Linked DNA regions of Arabidopsis thaliana. The protein of the gene in region 1 interacts with the protein of each later gene in a biochemical or structural test. Each region holds a gene or a part of one and is shown on either strand. Other genes may lie near its edges. The genes, in order: ROC4, SERAT2;1 and AT3G11630.

Region 1 (5,948 bases):
CAATAGAAAATTATGGATCCAAAAACCGGAAGTTAAAGGGTATTTATGATACAAACCCTAATGCATGCAAAAAAAAAACTAGAATGATATCATATGTTTCAAAACGATATTAGATAAAGACTAGTAACCAAATATTCTATGTGTCCTAACAAAATCCACTACCTTTTTTGAATTGTGTATATAAATACAACCAACTCCTTCACATTGTTCATAAGCTCTCTCTCTCTTTTCATTATTAATCTTCCCGTCTATAATTCATTAATTCTCGTTAGCAGCTTCTTCTTCGTTGGATTCGTAAAATGGATGGATTTGGAGCTAACTACGAGTGTTTGTTCTTTGGTAAATAATACACATATAAACTATAAACCAATCATCTTCAATCTTATTTCCCTTGTGCAATTTTTTTTTTGTAAAGGAATTAAAACTCTTATCTGTTGTTGCAGATATGGACGATACTTTATACCCTTTGAGCATCGGAATCAACTTAGCTTGTCGAAACAACATCCAAGGAAAAGAGACTTAACATTTCAAGATGCTTGTCTTTACTTAATCATTAACGGCCATATAACTGAATTTTGTATCCCTTTGTTTTCGTTATTTGCAGAGTTCATGCTTAACCAACTCGGAATCGAAGAGAGTGAAGTTCCAAAGTTGTGTTTGGATCTTTACAAAGAATATGGAACCACCATGGCTGGTCTCAAGGTAACTTATTTCAAAATTCTTGATCTTAAACATTCACTGAGGAAACTGAAATAACCAAAACAGAGGCGTACTTATAGGTTATGGGTTACGAATTCGACAACGATGAATTCCATGAATATGTCCATGGAAGACTTCCCTACGAGAAACTAAAACCTGATCCACTCCTCCGTAACCTTCTCCTCTCTATGCCTCACCGTAAAATCGTAAGTTTCTTCCTTCTTCAAGCTTTGTACTCGAATTCTCCACTGAATCTTTTTTTCTCATCCTCTGTTTTTTCATTTTCCCTTCGAACAGATCTTTACTAACGCAGACAAAGCTCACGCAACACGAGCTCTCAACAGATTGGGTCTTGAGGACTGCTTTGAAGGAATCATTTGCTTCGAAACACTAAACCCTTCTTCTGATTCAAACACTCAAATCCTCTGTAAACCCTCTGTTGAAGCATTTGAAGCTGCAATTCGCATTGCAGACATTGTTGATCCACGCAAAACGGTAATAGAAAAGTCACTATGATCTTTCACAGTTTCAGATACCAAACTTAAAAGTCTATATCTTTTTCTTTTCAGATATTCTTCGATGACAGTATTCGTAACATCGCTAGTGCTAAAGCAACAGGGCTAAAAACCGTGTTTGTGGGGGAATCAGTGCTAGTTCCAGGTGCTGACTATGCACTAAGCAGCATTCATAACATAAAGGAAGCAATACCTGATTTATGGGAAGACAACAAAGATGAGAAGCTCGAGCCAATTGTTCAGCAAGCCGCGGTTGCAACCATGGTCAATGCTTAGAGAGACATTCTAATAAGAATCCCACATCGATTAAAAGAACTTATAACTCATGTATCCGAAATATATAATAAATAAAAGACCAGAATTTGAAAATCTTTGGCTTTTTGATGGTTTGGATTCCTCAATAGTCATAATAGCAAAAAACAGAACAAAGATGGCAAAGACAATGCATCGGTCAATAGTGATTATCAAGCATCTAACGGGAGCTCTCCGCAGGCATAGATTCTACAACCTTTCTTGGGAACATCGAAAGCGCGAGTCTCTTGAGACTCAAGAGTCCTAACAAGCTTCATACCTTCAATTACTTGTCCAAACACGACATGCTTGTTATCTAACCATGAAGTCTGCACAAAAAAACAAATTTGTGAAATAAATATTAATCAAAATGGGAAGGCAAACATATGAAAGATCGATAACTCTATAGATGATGTGAAGAATTGAGAATCTTTACCTTGACGGTACAAATGAAAAACTGGCTTCCATTAGTATTAGGACCAGCGTTTGCCATGCTCAAGATTCCAGGTCCAGTATGCTTCACTGCAAATGCGGAAAACAAAACCATTAATACCTCAAAGAAGTAATGCCATATTTGCAGAAAACCAGAGTTTTTCTTTGTTTGTGAGTACTTACGGGTGAAGTTTTCATCTTCGAACTTGGCACCGTAAATACTAATACCTCCAGTACCCTGTGAGACCATATCGAAAAAGACGATTTAGAAAGAAATATCAAAATAACAAACAAACAGTCTGAAATGTAACTTGTTGGAAAGAACTTACATTTCCCTCGGTGAAATCACCTCCTTGGATCATGAAATCCTTAATAATACGATGGAAAGAGGAACCCTTGTACCCGTATTTCTTCTCACCTGAAGAAATCAATTTCCTTTAGACAATGGTTTTGATTGTGTCTATAAAGTTCCAAACTTTAAACATCATTTTGATAAGGAGCTTACCAGTACACAAGGCACGGAAGTTTTCAACGGTTTTAGGCACAACTTCTCCAAAGAGACCCATCACAATTCTGCCAGCAACTTCACCTCCAATTTCCACATCAAAGTAAACCTTGTTTGTCACTTTAGCTTGAGGTTCGATTACTTCTTCTTCCTCCTACAAACCAAGTTCAAAAATCAACACGAATCCATAAGGCAACAGAACATGAATGATTTATGAAAAAAGTAACTTACAGCAGCCATGGATTTAACACAAGCGGTTCTCTGATGCTTGGTGGTCGCATAAACCCCAGAAAATTGCTTAATGGGTGATGCATAGTGCAATCTCGAAGATAATGCAATTCCAGAGGAACGAGCTCCAAAGCAAACTGATTGAGTTGTTCGATTTGCAGAAACTAATTGCGACTTAACACCGAACCCAATCTACACAGAAAACCAAACAAAAGAGATTTAAGACCAAAAAAAACCCACAAGAACAGGAATAGTATCCGATTGAAATTTCGTTTTAACTCACAGAGACACACTACTTAAAGTGAAGAAGAAAAAAGGATAGAATTCAAAGCATAAATCTTCGACGAAAATTGAAAAAACCGCAAATGTAGGATTAAGTTTAGAACCTGGGCAATGGAGCGGGAAGTGTGAACCATCTGCATAGAAGACGAAGAAGCCATTGAATGATTAAAGATGAAGACTTTTTGTTGGTTCGCTTTAGACAACAGTCTTTAGTTTTGCAGATAAGAGAACCGCCTCGAGCCTTGTTTTTTAAGTTAGCAACTCTATGGATTGGTGGTATCCTTAGCATCTCATGCTAACTTACGCCTAATGATAATGACAGCTAGAGGCCTATTTTTAATTTCTTTTAGGCCCAGCCCAAGTCATTTATCCAAATGCTTTCTCTCTTAAGTTACAACAAAAAATTGGGTTAGGGTTAAACCTGTGGTTGCGGATGACTATCAAGTACAATTGCCGTAGAAAGCCTTTTTTTATTATTTGCTGTAGAAAGCCTTTTTTTTTCTTTCTAAAGCACACAATTTTTAATTTTCCAAAATTTTGATATCATTCTCTGAAAATTTAACTGCTTACAGATTTTGGCATTTAATATTCCTAGAACAAAATCATGTTTTTATGAACAACATCATAAGACCAGCAAGATTAGTTTTGTCTATTATTTCACACTCAATAGATCAAAACCACAAACTCCAAGAACCAACAAAATTGTTCATGTTTTCATACACAAAGCTACTACAGTCTTTGGACATTATTTAAACACACATAATTTGCTGTACCATGCATCAGCAACTTTCGTCTCTCTTGGAGTTTGTAACAGCTTCTGTTGAGCACCGACTGCGTAAGGGAGAAGAAGTAAACGGAACATCAGCTAAGAGTTTTCGCCAAAGCCATTCAAAGCTTACATAAGGAAATTGTATTGCTGATGGGGGTGGGTTCCTTGAGTGCCAAGAGTACTTTGATATTTCTCATCCGCTAAGAGATTGTTTGGTAGCTGAGAGGGTTTTAGTTAGATTTATCTGTGGTTGTGGATGAGTGAAATTTACTGGTTTGCTTTCACTGGTTGTCGTGTGCTAATTTCGACTCTACCCCTTGCCAAGGCACATTCACAACCATGTAACTGTAGGGTAATTGAGTAACTTTCTTTGTCAATCCAGGAAAAACATCACTTGGGCCGCACCATGGCCCAAACAAGGCACGGATCTGCTTTAACCTAACACCTCGATTTAATTTACCCTATCGATGATTACCACAAGTGGGCCTATTTGTTTATCTACCAGGCCCAGCCCATCATGATAAGAAAATGCTTGTCACTCAAGTTTTTAATTAACTTTCCAACTCCTTACCAAGAATTTGAAACTGAAACTTTTTATTATTGATCTATAGATCTCTGATCTGGAATATATTTCGGTTAAACCAAGAATTCTAGCTAACGAAAACCAAAACTTAAAAGTTAGATTAAATATGTACATGTGTAAGAAAACGACATCACATCTTTCCTCCAACTCCCAAGCTTTGCTTTGCGTTTAAGTTAGTTAAGCTATGCATAATTTCTCCTCAAACAGATTCAAATATTTATAACGATCCAAATCGAAACAAAAACATATCACACAGTTTCAAATTAGAGCTTCAAATCTAGTTACTTGTTCTTCTACAGTACATCATCAAAAGTCAAAACCATGGACTCGAGATGTTTTGGCTTCTTCTTTACTTTGTTATCTCTAAATGTGATTGTTCTTGCTTACGATCCTGACACACTTCAAGATCTCTGCGTTGCGGATCGCACTTCAGGTACACATATATCTTCAAATTAAATTTACTGTCTACTTTGAATGATTTGTTAAAGTAATGAAATGTCGTCGTTTTTGGATTATGTAGGGATAAAAGTGAATGGTTTCACATGTAAACCCGAATCAAACATCACCGCTTCAGATTTTTTCTTCGCCGGAATCGGAAAACCCGCCGTCGTTAACAACACAGTCGGGTCAGCCGTCACGGGAGCAAACGTAGAGAAGATCGCAGGGCTTAACACGCTCGGAGTCTCACTCGCGCGTATCGACTACGCTCCCGGAGGTTTAAACCCGCCGCACACGCATCCACGCGCCACCGAAGTGATCTTCGTTTTGGAAGGCGAGCTTGACGTTGGATTCATAACGACGGCGAACAAGCTCTTCGCTAAGACGGTGAAGAAAGGAGAAGTGTTCGTCTTCCCTAGAGGATTGATTCATTACCAGAAAAACAACGACAAAGCGAAACCGGCGTCGGTGATCTCTGCGTTCAACAGTCAATTACCGGGAACACAATCGATCGCCGCCACGCTATTCACAGCCACTCCGGCGATTCCGGATCACGTTTTAACGACGACGTTTCAAATCGGAACGAAAGAAATCGAAAAAATCAAATCTAAGTTTGCTCCCAAGAAAGTCTAAAAATCGCGTCGTTATATATATATATTTTAAATTTTATTAATTGGTTTTTAAATTTTAATAAAGGAAAAAATAAACCTTGTTCATTAGAATAACCTGCTGAATCAGCTGGAGGGTTTTAAGCAATGCATATAAAGGTACAAACCTATAAACAGAGATCTCTCTACAAAGCAGACGAAGGAGAAGAGAAGGCTGTACAATTTTTTATACACTAAAAGCTCTGTATAAACCAAACAACATAACTTTGCCTAGATTTATACATATATGTATGGACACTGAAACCCAAAATCACACTTTTATTTATCTATCCTGAGGTTATGACAGAGATGTCCAAGTTCCGGCCGTGACTTCATCCAATCCAAGAATTTCATTTCTTCCGGCGACGTGCTATAGAGGTATGATCTGAATGTTATCAGGTAAAAGTAGCGCCTGCTCATACAAAACAATCATATTATTTGTTTGGATATGGGAAGAAACGAAACTCATGGTTTGGTTGGATCGTTTTAACCGGATTGAAGTTGTAAGTAACTAACCTTAAGGCTTTAACACCCATGTCCATGATGTATGAACGGTTTT
Region 2 (5,021 bases), on another chromosome or scaffold:
TAGAGTAGTAGGCTTTTTAACTTTATTAGGTGGAAATAGTATTTTCATTTTGCAAACACTCAAACAAAGTTAGATGAGTAAACTCAATGATGTGAAAAATTGGAAAAGGTTTTCTTTTTTCCTTTGAATAACGATTTTTGAGGAAGCTGAATGAAAATAAGATTCTTTGTTGGTATTCTGATGGTGGTTTTCTAATTTTGACGTCGTCGGCGTCTTGTTCTACACAGAGAGTCTCTTTGTTCTCGTTGCTTCCATCTTCTATCTATGGCTGTTTCAGCTTCTGGTCCTGTAAACACTCCCTTTCGTCTACCAAGTCTTGAAACCTTAGACCCATTGCCTGAAGTCAAATGAGAAACTCGTCTCTGAGGCTTCCGAGGTATGCTCTTCTTCTTAACCATTCTCAGAGCCTCTATTGTTTGATTTCTAGAATGCTATACTTTTTTCTAATCCTGCTTTGCAGAATCTTTAGCTAACCTGATAGAATTGTGCTTTTCTATCCTTGGTATTAGATCAAGCGGTCTAAACTTCCCAGTTAGACTTTGAGGTTTTTGTCTGCTCTTGTGAACAATCATTTACATACATTGTGTGTGTGTGTGTCTGCGCGTGTGAATTCAGGTACCTAGCTCTTTCTTAAATCAATTCAGACATGATTCGTGGCTGTTAAAACAAGCTACAATAACACAAATGAAGAATTGTTCAAATATCATGTGCGTTAATGTCCACGCTCCTGAAATAGATTACGTATGTTTCACTAGGACTTGTTAGAATTGTGAAACTTATAAAACTGTTCTTTTTGTTAGGCAATGGTGAGGCTATTTTACTTTCAGGTTTAAAAAACCTGTTGAAGCATTAGAGTGTTGATGAATATGAGTTTCCCTAAAGTAGATAGTATCTTCAGTCTGAAGTATATATGCATGTGTTGTTTCTGATCATAGTGTGCATCAAATGGGATGGTTCTGAAGATCTTTTGACAAACTCTTTGTCTATCAATTGATGTTTAAGGTTCAACAGCGATTCAGTTTCATAAAAGGTGATGTTTTTGCTTTTGCTTTTGTTAGCAGATGGTACCAAATCAAAAAGCTTAGGATCATATCGAGTGCCCCTTATCTGATAGAGGACTCAAGGAAGCAGATACTTAACCTCATTAAGCATCATGCTCAATCTTAGCTCCTTATTGTGCTACTAAAGTTCCAGTCTATTGGTATCCTCTTCCAATCTTATTATTTGTGTTGTTTTTTTGTGTGTCCTGACGTTTCACAGTGTCCATTCTTCATCATGTCATTCTCCATTCTTCAACACATCACAATTATATTTTAGCTAAATAGATAAAATTTATTCATATGATTTATTCTAAGAGATATTCGACATTTTTCAATATAAATTTTAGAAACCAAAAAATTGTGTAACTCGAAAGGGAAAGTTCATATATTCTTTGTGAACCAAATCGAATTCTCTAACTGAATAGTATTTTGTGTTTTCATGATTTTGAAGAGCCAAATCTACTTGACTACTGGTTGAAAATTGAAAGAAACCCTAATAAGGGACAATGATAACGAAAGATTGGGTCCTCAAACAATGGACACCACTATTCTACTGCCATTTAAAAAAAAAAGTTTAATATTTTTGAATTTTATTGTTGTTGTTTTCTCATTTCAAAACATCCAAAATTCCAACTAAGATAAGATAACTTATTTGCAGTAAGAAAAACGGATAATTTTATTTATTTGAATCCATCCATCAACATAAAGGTGTGCACAAAGGACAATATTAGGCAAATGACAATGTCACGTAATCTACGTTGCCCAATTGAATAATTTGATTATCATAAAAGTTACACAAGTTTCATTATTGAGTATTGAGTACTGAATAGAGATATCTTCAACCATAATGTAGCTTTCACAATTTCCATACGCGAAAAAAAGATATACACAAATGGAGTGTGTAGAGTAAACTAAACTCACTCTATTATGACTAACAGTCAATAACACGTACGTAGTTATCAAATTATTAATGAGTAAAAAAGTTCCAAGTTAAATTATGTATAAATTAATCATGTATTAGCATTAGATTATTAAAGTGTGAAAAAATGATTAGATTCAGACAACCTTGAAAATAAGGAGTTAAAGTCAAAGGGCGACTGCTTCACGTAACTTTAGACTTACGTCATTACTAACGTCACCTTTCTTTGAAAACCTCCTCCTTTTGAAAACCTCCTCCTTTTGGCAACTTTAATAATAGATCCAATTTTCTTGGTTTTTCCCCCCATTATTTGGAAATTATAACCATTTTACTACAAGTGCCTTCTAAATTCTACAACCCAACAAAAAAAAAAAAATTATATTACATATCATACAAAATAGCTAGATAATAAGTAGTTGATGTTATTGTTATGAAAAAGTTGGTGGCACTAAAAACATGTGATGGCTAATGACCCTTAGATATGTGTAGATAAGCAGACTAATCATGCAAAAATAAATACAAAATTGTAAACATCGTAATTGTCTGGACAATAAATCATAAAATTAAAAACATAAAACCATTTCCAAAATAAAATTGTGTATGGAAAAAAATATATATTAATCTCACTTACTATATAATTCATTACCTCCTTAATCTGCAGAAAAATGTGTATAATTAAAGAATAAAATATTTAGAGAGCGCTAATTAAACTGTAATTACTTTTTGAGATTTTTTTGGGTCAGAGTCAAAGGTCGCCGCCATCTCTCTCTGTGTATATAAGCTATGTTCATCTTCTTCACTCAACAACCATTCTCTCTTCTCTTCTTTATCTCAAACTCTTTCTTCTTCCAAATCATAAACCATGGCAACATGCATAGACACATGCCGAACCGGTAATACCCAAGACGATGATTCCCGGTTCTGTTGCATCAAGAATTTCTTTCGACCCGGTTTCTCTGTAAACCGGAAGATTCACCACACCCAAATCGAAGATGACGATGATGTCTGGATCAAGATGCTTGAAGAAGCCAAATCCGATGTTAAACAAGAACCCATTTTATCAAACTACTACTACGCTTCGATCACATCTCATCGATCTTTAGAGTCTGCTTTAGCTCACATCCTCTCCGTAAAGCTCAGCAATTTAAACCTACCAAGCAACACACTCTTCGAACTGTTCATAAGCGTTTTAGAAGAAAGCCCTGAGATCATCGAATCCACGAAGCAAGATCTTATAGCAGTCAAAGAAAGAGACCCAGCTTGTATAAGCTACGTTCATTGCTTCTTGGGCTTCAAAGGCTTCCTCGCTTGTCAAGCTCATCGAATAGCTCATACCCTCTGGAAACAGAACAGAAAAATCGTAGCTTTATTGATCCAAAACAGAGTATCAGAATCTTTCGCCGTCGATATTCATCCCGGAGCGAAGATCGGAAAAGGGATTCTTTTAGACCATGCGACGGGCGTGGTGATCGGAGAGACGGCGGTGGTTGGAGACAATGTTTCGATTCTACACGGAGTGACCTTGGGAGGAACAGGGAAACAGAGTGGTGATCGGCATCCGAAGATTGGTGATGGTGTGTTGATTGGAGCTGGGAGTTGTATATTGGGGAATATAACAATCGGTGAGGGAGCTAAGATTGGATCAGGGTCGGTGGTGGTTAAGGATGTGCCGGCGCGTACGACGGCGGTTGGAAATCCGGCGAGGTTGATTGGTGGGAAAGAGAATCCGAGAAAACATGATAAGATTCCTTGTCTGACTATGGACCAGACATCGTATTTAACCGAGTGGTCTGATTATGTGATTTAACACAAATGTGTATTTCTTTCTTTCTTGTAACTGATGATGATGAAACAAGTCTTGTCTATTTCTTAATATTTTACTATGTACTAATCAAACAAGTCTTGAAATCAAGCTCATCGATCTTTAAGAAGAAACTAGAGATTAGTTTATCTCGAGGCGAATCAAGAATGTGTACACTTTTATGGATTAATATATTTGTTAATAACATGGATTGTGAATTGGGCCTTAAAGTGGACTGTTAAATGGGCCATGTATAACCAACTCACGCCAACAATAGTTTTCTAATGGTTACTTTCGTCGCCGGAGTCGTGGAAGGTGGAGAAATGGGAAAATCTCACAGAAGAAGTAATTATGAGTCATCGTAAACTAGAAAGAAGACTAAAGGACGAGGCAGAACAAAGCATCATTACTATAGTATTGATGACGTTCTGGTTTCGTAATTAAAGTGTTTTCATTTCCCAATGCAAATGACTTTTGATATTTCTTCTCTAATAAAGAAAGTCGCTTATAAAACTCAAACATAGAGAGAAGTTTTCATTTGTTCTAAACTTATTCAAAACCCTAGTTTTTTCTTACAATCAACCATCGCTAAATCAGAAGAAACATTAGTTTCACAGGAAAAAAAAAAACTAAAAAAAAGAAACAGAGATTATAAAGAGTCCATTGGAATATAGAGAACCGAAAATCGACCGAGATCACAAAGCCAAGATATGGCAAAAAGATATGATTCTAGAAGAATTTGGAAGAATATTAATAAATGTTAATATTAGAGTTTAGGAAGTTTAATATTATCTCTAAAAATATTATTTACATATATGTTTATTTTAGTTTAGGAAACTTAGATCTCTTCCTTCTCTATATAAAGATCATCTCCAATGTATAGCTCTATATCCACCTCTAAAATAGAGTTACTCTATTTTTGAGGTGGGTTTCTCTCCAATGTATAGCTCTATTTTCTACTCTAAAAAAGAATATTCTTAAAAATATTCTATTTCTAATTTATATACTAATTCCTTTTAATTATATAATTTACAATTTGACCTCATATATTATAGATTTGCAAAAATTTCCAGAAAATATGACATTATTTAAATTAAACACTACTTATTTATTAAAAAACATTACATCATATAACAATAATAAAACATTACAAATTTTTATTTTGTGATTTGGATTCCTTTCAAAACTCACATGTTCGGGCATATTTTGAGAGTGAACAAGTACGGCTTTTACAAAAACGATGTGTCCAACGACAAGATCA
Region 3 (5,559 bases), about 19 Mb from region 1:
AACCATTGGAATTATGCAAAAAATGTTAACACATCTGAGAGCCTTGGAAATTGAAACAACAGTTTCTGCTGCTGACTTCATATACATCAATGACGTCATCCATATCCCGACCAGGAGATGGCGAAGGAGTAAAGTAAGGAGGTGAGTTGCACGGCGTCAAGAACGGAGTTGGATCGCCGGAATACTCCACCGGAATATCAACTTGGACTTCGAAGCCATTATCTACCTCCGCAGAGATCACATCATCATCATCATCTTCCAGTTCCAAATCCTCTTCTTCAATTGTGAAGAGAAGCCTCGACACCCGCCACTTGTCCGCCGCCGCGAATTCCTCCTCAGGCACCGCCGCAGCAACAACATCCTCCTCCATCTGTACAGAAACAATACCGGTGCATGGCTCAATACGAGAGTGGTGGTGATTCTTCTTGCAACACATCAAGAATTGGAAAAGAACCTCTTTACTTGCCGGAGACGGTAAAGATCCGGTGCGGCAACAAAAGATGTAAGAGAGCTCGGCGAAAAGGATGAGCAGAAAGAAGAGTAACACGGCGAGAAGTACGGCGCCGGAGTTGGTGAGGGCATGCATCGTTTGAGAGAGAGTGTGAAAAAATAATGACCGGGACGTAGTGTAGTTAAAGCAGGAGAGTTGACCGGCGTTTACCGGTCATCAGTTGACGGAGGAGGTTGGGTTGATGATGATTAATGATGTTGGAATTTGTTGGCAGGGGGACACATGAGCAACTTTTTTACAGGTAGCATCAGCTTTTTAAGGATCATAATTATCATATAGATGCATTAAAGAAAGAGAAATGATAGTTTTATAATTTCTGTCCTTTGGTTTTTTTACAGGTCCTTTAATATGACTAGCGTATATGGTAGAACAATGGCTTCTCTGTGCTATCAAAGAAGATCACAAAATGGTCTTGATTTTTACCATTAATATGTACAGTGTACATGCTTAGGTAAGTGATCAACTGAATATGAATTTGTAGGCGTAACACAATAAGACTTCCATTAACGGAAAAAGTTTTTTATTATAATTTTGGGGACAAAGTGAGAATCAAACAAAGGATTGTTTTAGCGTACAAGAAAAAAAACTCTGCTCACATATAACAAAGATTGTACCTTTTTGCTATCATAGTAGAGTTTCTAAATAGCTGAGAAGTACTCTTTGCTGAGTTTTGGGTCGGGTTTCATTGACTTCTCACCCGGCTTCCATCCTGCTGGGCAGACTTCATCCGGGTTTTCCTGGATGTACTGTAATGCCTGCAACATTGAAAACGTATTAAGCATACCGGAAATCGAGTGAAAGGAAAGAGCGGTTTTTGGAGTTGTGTGTATTTATTTGTATCTTTACCTGGAGGGTTCTCATTGTCTCATCAACGCTTCGGCCAATACCAAGATTGTTGATGGTGGAATGTTGGATCACTCCTTCCTTGTCGATTATGAAAAGTCCTCTCAGTGCTATTCCCTGTTCTTACACAAACAAAGTTCTTGTTTTCATTTATCCCAAACACTTCGAAAGTTTAAAGGAAGGTAGCCAAGATTTAAAGGCTAACAATTACCTGATCATGGATGAGCACTCCGAACGACTTTGAGATTGATTTAGTGACATCTGAAATAAGGGGATAGTTCAGATCACCAAGCCCTCCAGATTTCCTGTCTGTTTGGACCCATGCAAGGTGAGAGAACTACGAGGACACACAGAAATAAGAATGAATCAAAAATTTGCAAACAGATAAGAACATGGTGATGTCAACCAAGGATGAGGAACTGAGTAAAATGAGAACATAGTAAATGTATAGTGATACTTACCACACTATCGACAGAAACACCTAATACTTCGGTGTTCAACTTCTCAAATTCTGAATGCCGGTCACTGAAGGCAGTAATCTCTAAAAGACATAAGGAAAAAATGAGAAAGATTAGGACTCAAGGATGAGGGAACCTTGGATATTCAATTTTGATATACTTCTCGAGCAATGCTAACCTGTTGGGCAGACGAAAGTAAAGTCCAATGGGTAGAAAAAGAGAATCACATACTTCTTTCCAATGTAATCAGAGAGCTTAACCTGAAACCATACATTCATCAGTTACCAATTAGTTTCCAATCACAATAAGACATATACTCACTAAATAAAAAACACTAAAGACTACTCATTCAGCTTCAAAACTAAACTTAATCTCAGATTAACTAGAAGCAGCAACTGTGATTGATAACTGCTGTAAGTACCTTGATGAACTCTTGATCAAACACAGCCTCTGCCTCAAAATCAGGCGCCTTGTTTCCAACCAGTGGAAGATCATCCTATAATCACCAAATTAAAACTCGTTAACACATCAAATCTAAGGAGAAAGATCAGTCAAATTGACAATCAGATAACCATGGTACTATACCAAAACTACATAGACCTCATCCGAACATACTAATCAGTCAATGAGTATAGCTCATATGTCACTCAATTTCACTTCACCAGAGAAATTAACAACCCTAAACGAAAATGTCACTCAAATTTCTGAACTTTTCGAGTAATCTGCAGAAACACGGTCGCATAACCTATAAATCGTTAACTATTTCCCCAAAACCTATAGGGCTAACAAGTAGGAAGAGAGTGAAATCTATAACAGGCTAATGAATTCAGATTTCAATGACATCGAATAAGAAAAGTATCGACATTTAGATAAACTTACGGCCTGGGCTTTGACAGCAAAGCTCCGACGAGAAGTGGAGCTGAGGGAAGAGCGTCGAGCAAATCCGGAGCGGAGAGAAGCAGATGCGGAAGGAGAAGAAAGGGTTCGAAGGAAAGAAACAGATGGAGAGGAAAGTGAAGACTTTGCTGGAAAAACCCTAGAAGAGGGAGAAGAGATGAGAGTAGTTGAAGAAGCAACAGACGCCATTGCTGCTACACACACTTTGTGACTCTCTGAGTCTGAGCTACCAAACACTCTTATCTATCTGTCAATCACCTCTCTTTGTAGTGGAAGTATGAGGTGGAGATAAGCCTGACGACACCCAAACTCATAAAACGACGTCGCGTTACTCAAAACGAGGTCGTATTACTATTGCTGCAAATATGCGTCTTCTTCTTCTACCTTGGGTAACTCCGTCTCTCCGTTACTTTCTTCCTCCGATCGGTGGTTCAGTTCTCCAAAGTATCTAATCTACTCCTGTTGTTTCAGGTGCATTGTTGTGCTCTCTTCACTTGGTTTACTTTAAAAGGCTTCTTCACTTATTTTGCAAAGTTTTGATTTTTAGTGGTTTCTCTGTTGTCTCATTAATTCTCTCGATCTTCTCCTTTCAAGTGTTGACAGTTCTGAGAGAAGATATAAGTTGAATCGCGTGACCGGAGACATGGAGACTCAAAACAAATTGATGAATGAAACTAAAAGACATGTTAAATCCAGATTGTGCAGAGTTTCTGGGTATTGTTACATTAATCTTTTACGAAATTTTCTAATTTCTTTGACTATAGTTACACTTTTTGTTTTGTTTTTTGTATTTGTGATCAAAGTTCGATGACGGAGATGATGGAAATTCAAGCTGAGAATCCCACATTCCATGTATTGTTTATTCCGGGAAATCCAGGTTTCATTATTATGCTCAAGACTCTTATGCATGCACGTGTATATACTAGTGTGCTTCATACATTGGCTTGTAATTTTTCAGGAGTTGTGTCATTTTACAAGGACTTTTTGGAATCTTTATACGAGTTTCTTGGTGGAAATGCTTCTGTAATTGGTATGGCTGCTCTACTTTTCGAGTTTGATTTCTTTGAGTCCTTAAGATGGAAGCTGTTTATTTCTGAGTTTGAGTTTGTTCTTCTGATCTCTAATGGTGGAGTGGTTTGTTTTATTTGTGTAGCTATTGGGCAAATATCTCACACGAGCAAGGTACGTTAACTTTGGTTTCAGGTTTTACTGTGTGTAAACTTTGATGGTTCTCTTCATATAATATCTTAGTTTGATAGGCTTTCATGATACTTGATTATTTTCACTTTTAGGACTGGGAGTCTGGGAGGCTATTTTCATTTCAAGAACAAATTGATCATAAGGTAATAAAAATCATTTTTCTTCATTGCTCTTGGATTTGAAAGCCTTTAGGTTCTTGTATTGTTCATCCTGTGAAGTTAAGATCTTAATCTGTTAGTTATCATACAGATTGATTTTATCAGACAGGAGTTGGAGAGTGTGAAAGTTCCAATAATATTGGTAAGACTGTCATGTGTATAAGCCATTGACATATTGCTTCTTATGACCAAAATATATATGTCCATTAGTTGGATGGATTTCCAGATTTTCATGAAAATTTACAACTCTAAGCTTAATTGATCTTGGTAGGTTGGGCATTCTATTGGGTCTTATATATCCCTTGAGTTATTGAAGAAATTCTCGGACAAGGTATAGATGGCTTCCTCTAAGAGTAGTACTTTCTCCATCACAATTTCTTTCAGTGCTATGTGATTTTTCTTATATTATTCTCTGGAATGCTTTGCAGGTGGTATATTGCATTGGCCTATATCCATTTTTGACTTTGAACCAACAATCAACAAAGCAATCATTAATTGGCAAACTTGCAGCGTGAGCTTTTGTTCTCAATACGAATCCTCGATAGGAAAGAACCAATCAGTCTTTATTTAGAATGTTGTGAAATCGTTATCATGTTGTGCAGGTCTTCTGTTCTGTCGGCTACAGCAAGTTTTCTGATTGCATCGCTGAGACTTTTACCTATGTCAGCTGCACGGCTGCTTGTATCTAAATCCATTGGAGCTTCATGGTCTGATACTGCTGTTCAAGCTACCTGCACTCACTTGAGGCAGGTATTGATTATCTCATATTCACTGATTTTCTTGGGTTTTACACTTGAACCTAGTTGTATAAAGACTTGAAGATGGCCATTACATCTTCTTTTCTTGATACTTTAAGTTCTTATTCCCTACTAACTATTCAGACGACTTAACTTCATCTGATGCTTGCAGTATCACACCATGCGCAATGTTCTCTTCATGGCAAAGTCAGAGTTTAGAGAGGTACTCTTCTTTCAACAATGTGTTGTATAGAGTTTAGAGTCTCATTTTGAATTCAAAGTATGCAAAGTGTTTACTTGAAAGCTCTACAACATGACCAAGCTTGCCCTATAGTTGATCTCCAACTAAAGCATTCTAGGTGACGATCCACTGTTTCATTTTTGGCATATAAGCTTGCAGCAGAGCCAGATTGGGATTTCATGAGAGAAAACCAGAGCAAGCTTGCATTTTTATTTGGCATTGATGATCATTGGGGTCCACTGCAACTCTTTGAAGAGGTTACTTGGTTTCCCTTCTTCTCGCTTAATCAAAATGCATTATCCTAACGATAGAAGGAAGGTCTCTCATAGAATCTCTCCATTGTCCAGATTTCAAAGCAAGCTCCGCATACTTCCTTATCTATCGAGAGGGAAGGTCACACGCACGGATTCTGCTGCACGGTGGCTGGCTCGGCATGGGTTGCGCAGCACGTAGCCACTCTAATCAAGAACCGGTTTTCACAGCTCCAGTAAAGTACATTCCCCTGTCTCTTCCT

What was found.
Region 2: the proteins of ROC4 (region 1) and SERAT2;1 form a complex in vitro, tested with the Arabidopsis thaliana proteins (one study listed by BioGRID).
Region 3: the proteins of ROC4 (region 1) and AT3G11630 form a complex in vitro, tested with the Arabidopsis thaliana proteins (one study listed by BioGRID).

Annotation. Positions count from the first base shown.
Region 1 is NC_003074.8:22,970,870-22,976,817, reverse strand, and holds ROC4 (rotamase CYP 4), read right to left. Parts: upstream 3,815-5,948; coding exon 3,726-3,814; intron 3,544-3,725; coding exon 3,523-3,543; intron 3,255-3,522; exon of another isoform or gene 3,160-3,254; coding exon 3,057-3,159; intron 2,863-3,056; coding exon 2,674-2,862; intron 2,597-2,673; coding exon 2,443-2,596; intron 2,356-2,442; coding exon 2,267-2,355; intron 2,176-2,266; coding exon 2,121-2,175; intron 2,028-2,120; coding exon 1,942-2,027; intron 1,835-1,941; coding exon 1,679-1,834; 3' UTR 1,491-1,678; downstream 1-1,490. Other genes in the region: AT3G62040 (Haloacid dehalogenase-like hydrolase (HAD) superfamily protein), read left to right, coding at 610-702, 780-905, 997-1,194, 1,269-1,490; GLP10 (germin-like protein 10), read left to right, coding at 4,626-4,737, 4,825-5,375; AT3G62010 (metal ion-binding protein), read right to left, coding at 5,669-5,801, 5,906-5,948. UniProt on the Arabidopsis thaliana protein: PPIases accelerate the folding of proteins. It catalyzes the cis-trans isomerization of proline imidic peptide bonds in oligopeptides. Required for the light-induced increase of thiol accumulation.
Region 2 is NC_003070.9:20,909,557-20,914,577, forward strand, and holds SERAT2;1 (serine acetyltransferase 2;1), read left to right. Parts: upstream 1-2,559; 5' UTR 2,560-2,605; coding exon of another isoform or gene 2,606-2,614; 5' UTR 2,615-2,679; coding exon of another isoform or gene 2,680-2,721; 5' UTR 2,722-2,821; coding exon 2,822-3,766; 3' UTR 3,767-4,009; downstream 4,010-5,021. Other genes in the region: AT1G55917 (uncharacterized protein), read right to left, coding at 1,569-1,593, 2,180-2,226, 2,284-2,310, 2,433-2,457, 2,492-2,502, 2,606-2,614, 2,680-2,721. UniProt on the Arabidopsis thaliana protein: Serine acetyltransferase which catalyzes the formation of O-acetyl-L-serine from acetyl-CoA and L-serine. Also displays O-acetylserine (thio1)-lyase activity in vitro. May be involved in detoxification process by mediating the production of glutathione.
Region 3 is NC_003074.8:3,669,528-3,675,086, reverse strand, and holds AT3G11630 (Thioredoxin superfamily protein), read right to left. Parts: upstream 3,052-5,559; 5' UTR 2,899-3,051; coding exon 2,692-2,898; intron 2,309-2,691; coding exon 2,234-2,308; intron 2,073-2,233; coding exon 1,991-2,072; intron 1,896-1,990; coding exon 1,816-1,895; intron 1,692-1,815; coding exon 1,566-1,691; intron 1,472-1,565; coding exon 1,358-1,471; intron 1,267-1,357; coding exon 1,150-1,266; 3' UTR 928-1,149; downstream 1-927. Other genes in the region: AT3G11640 (uncharacterized protein), read right to left, coding at 26-586; AT3G11620 (alpha/beta-Hydrolases superfamily protein), read left to right, coding at 3,353-3,423, 3,513-3,586, 3,668-3,739, 3,863-3,891, 4,002-4,052, 4,159-4,209, 4,339-4,398, 4,496-4,578 and 4 more. UniProt on the Arabidopsis thaliana protein: Thiol-specific peroxidase that catalyzes the reduction of hydrogen peroxide and organic hydroperoxides to water and alcohols, respectively. Plays a role in cell protection against oxidative stress by detoxifying peroxides.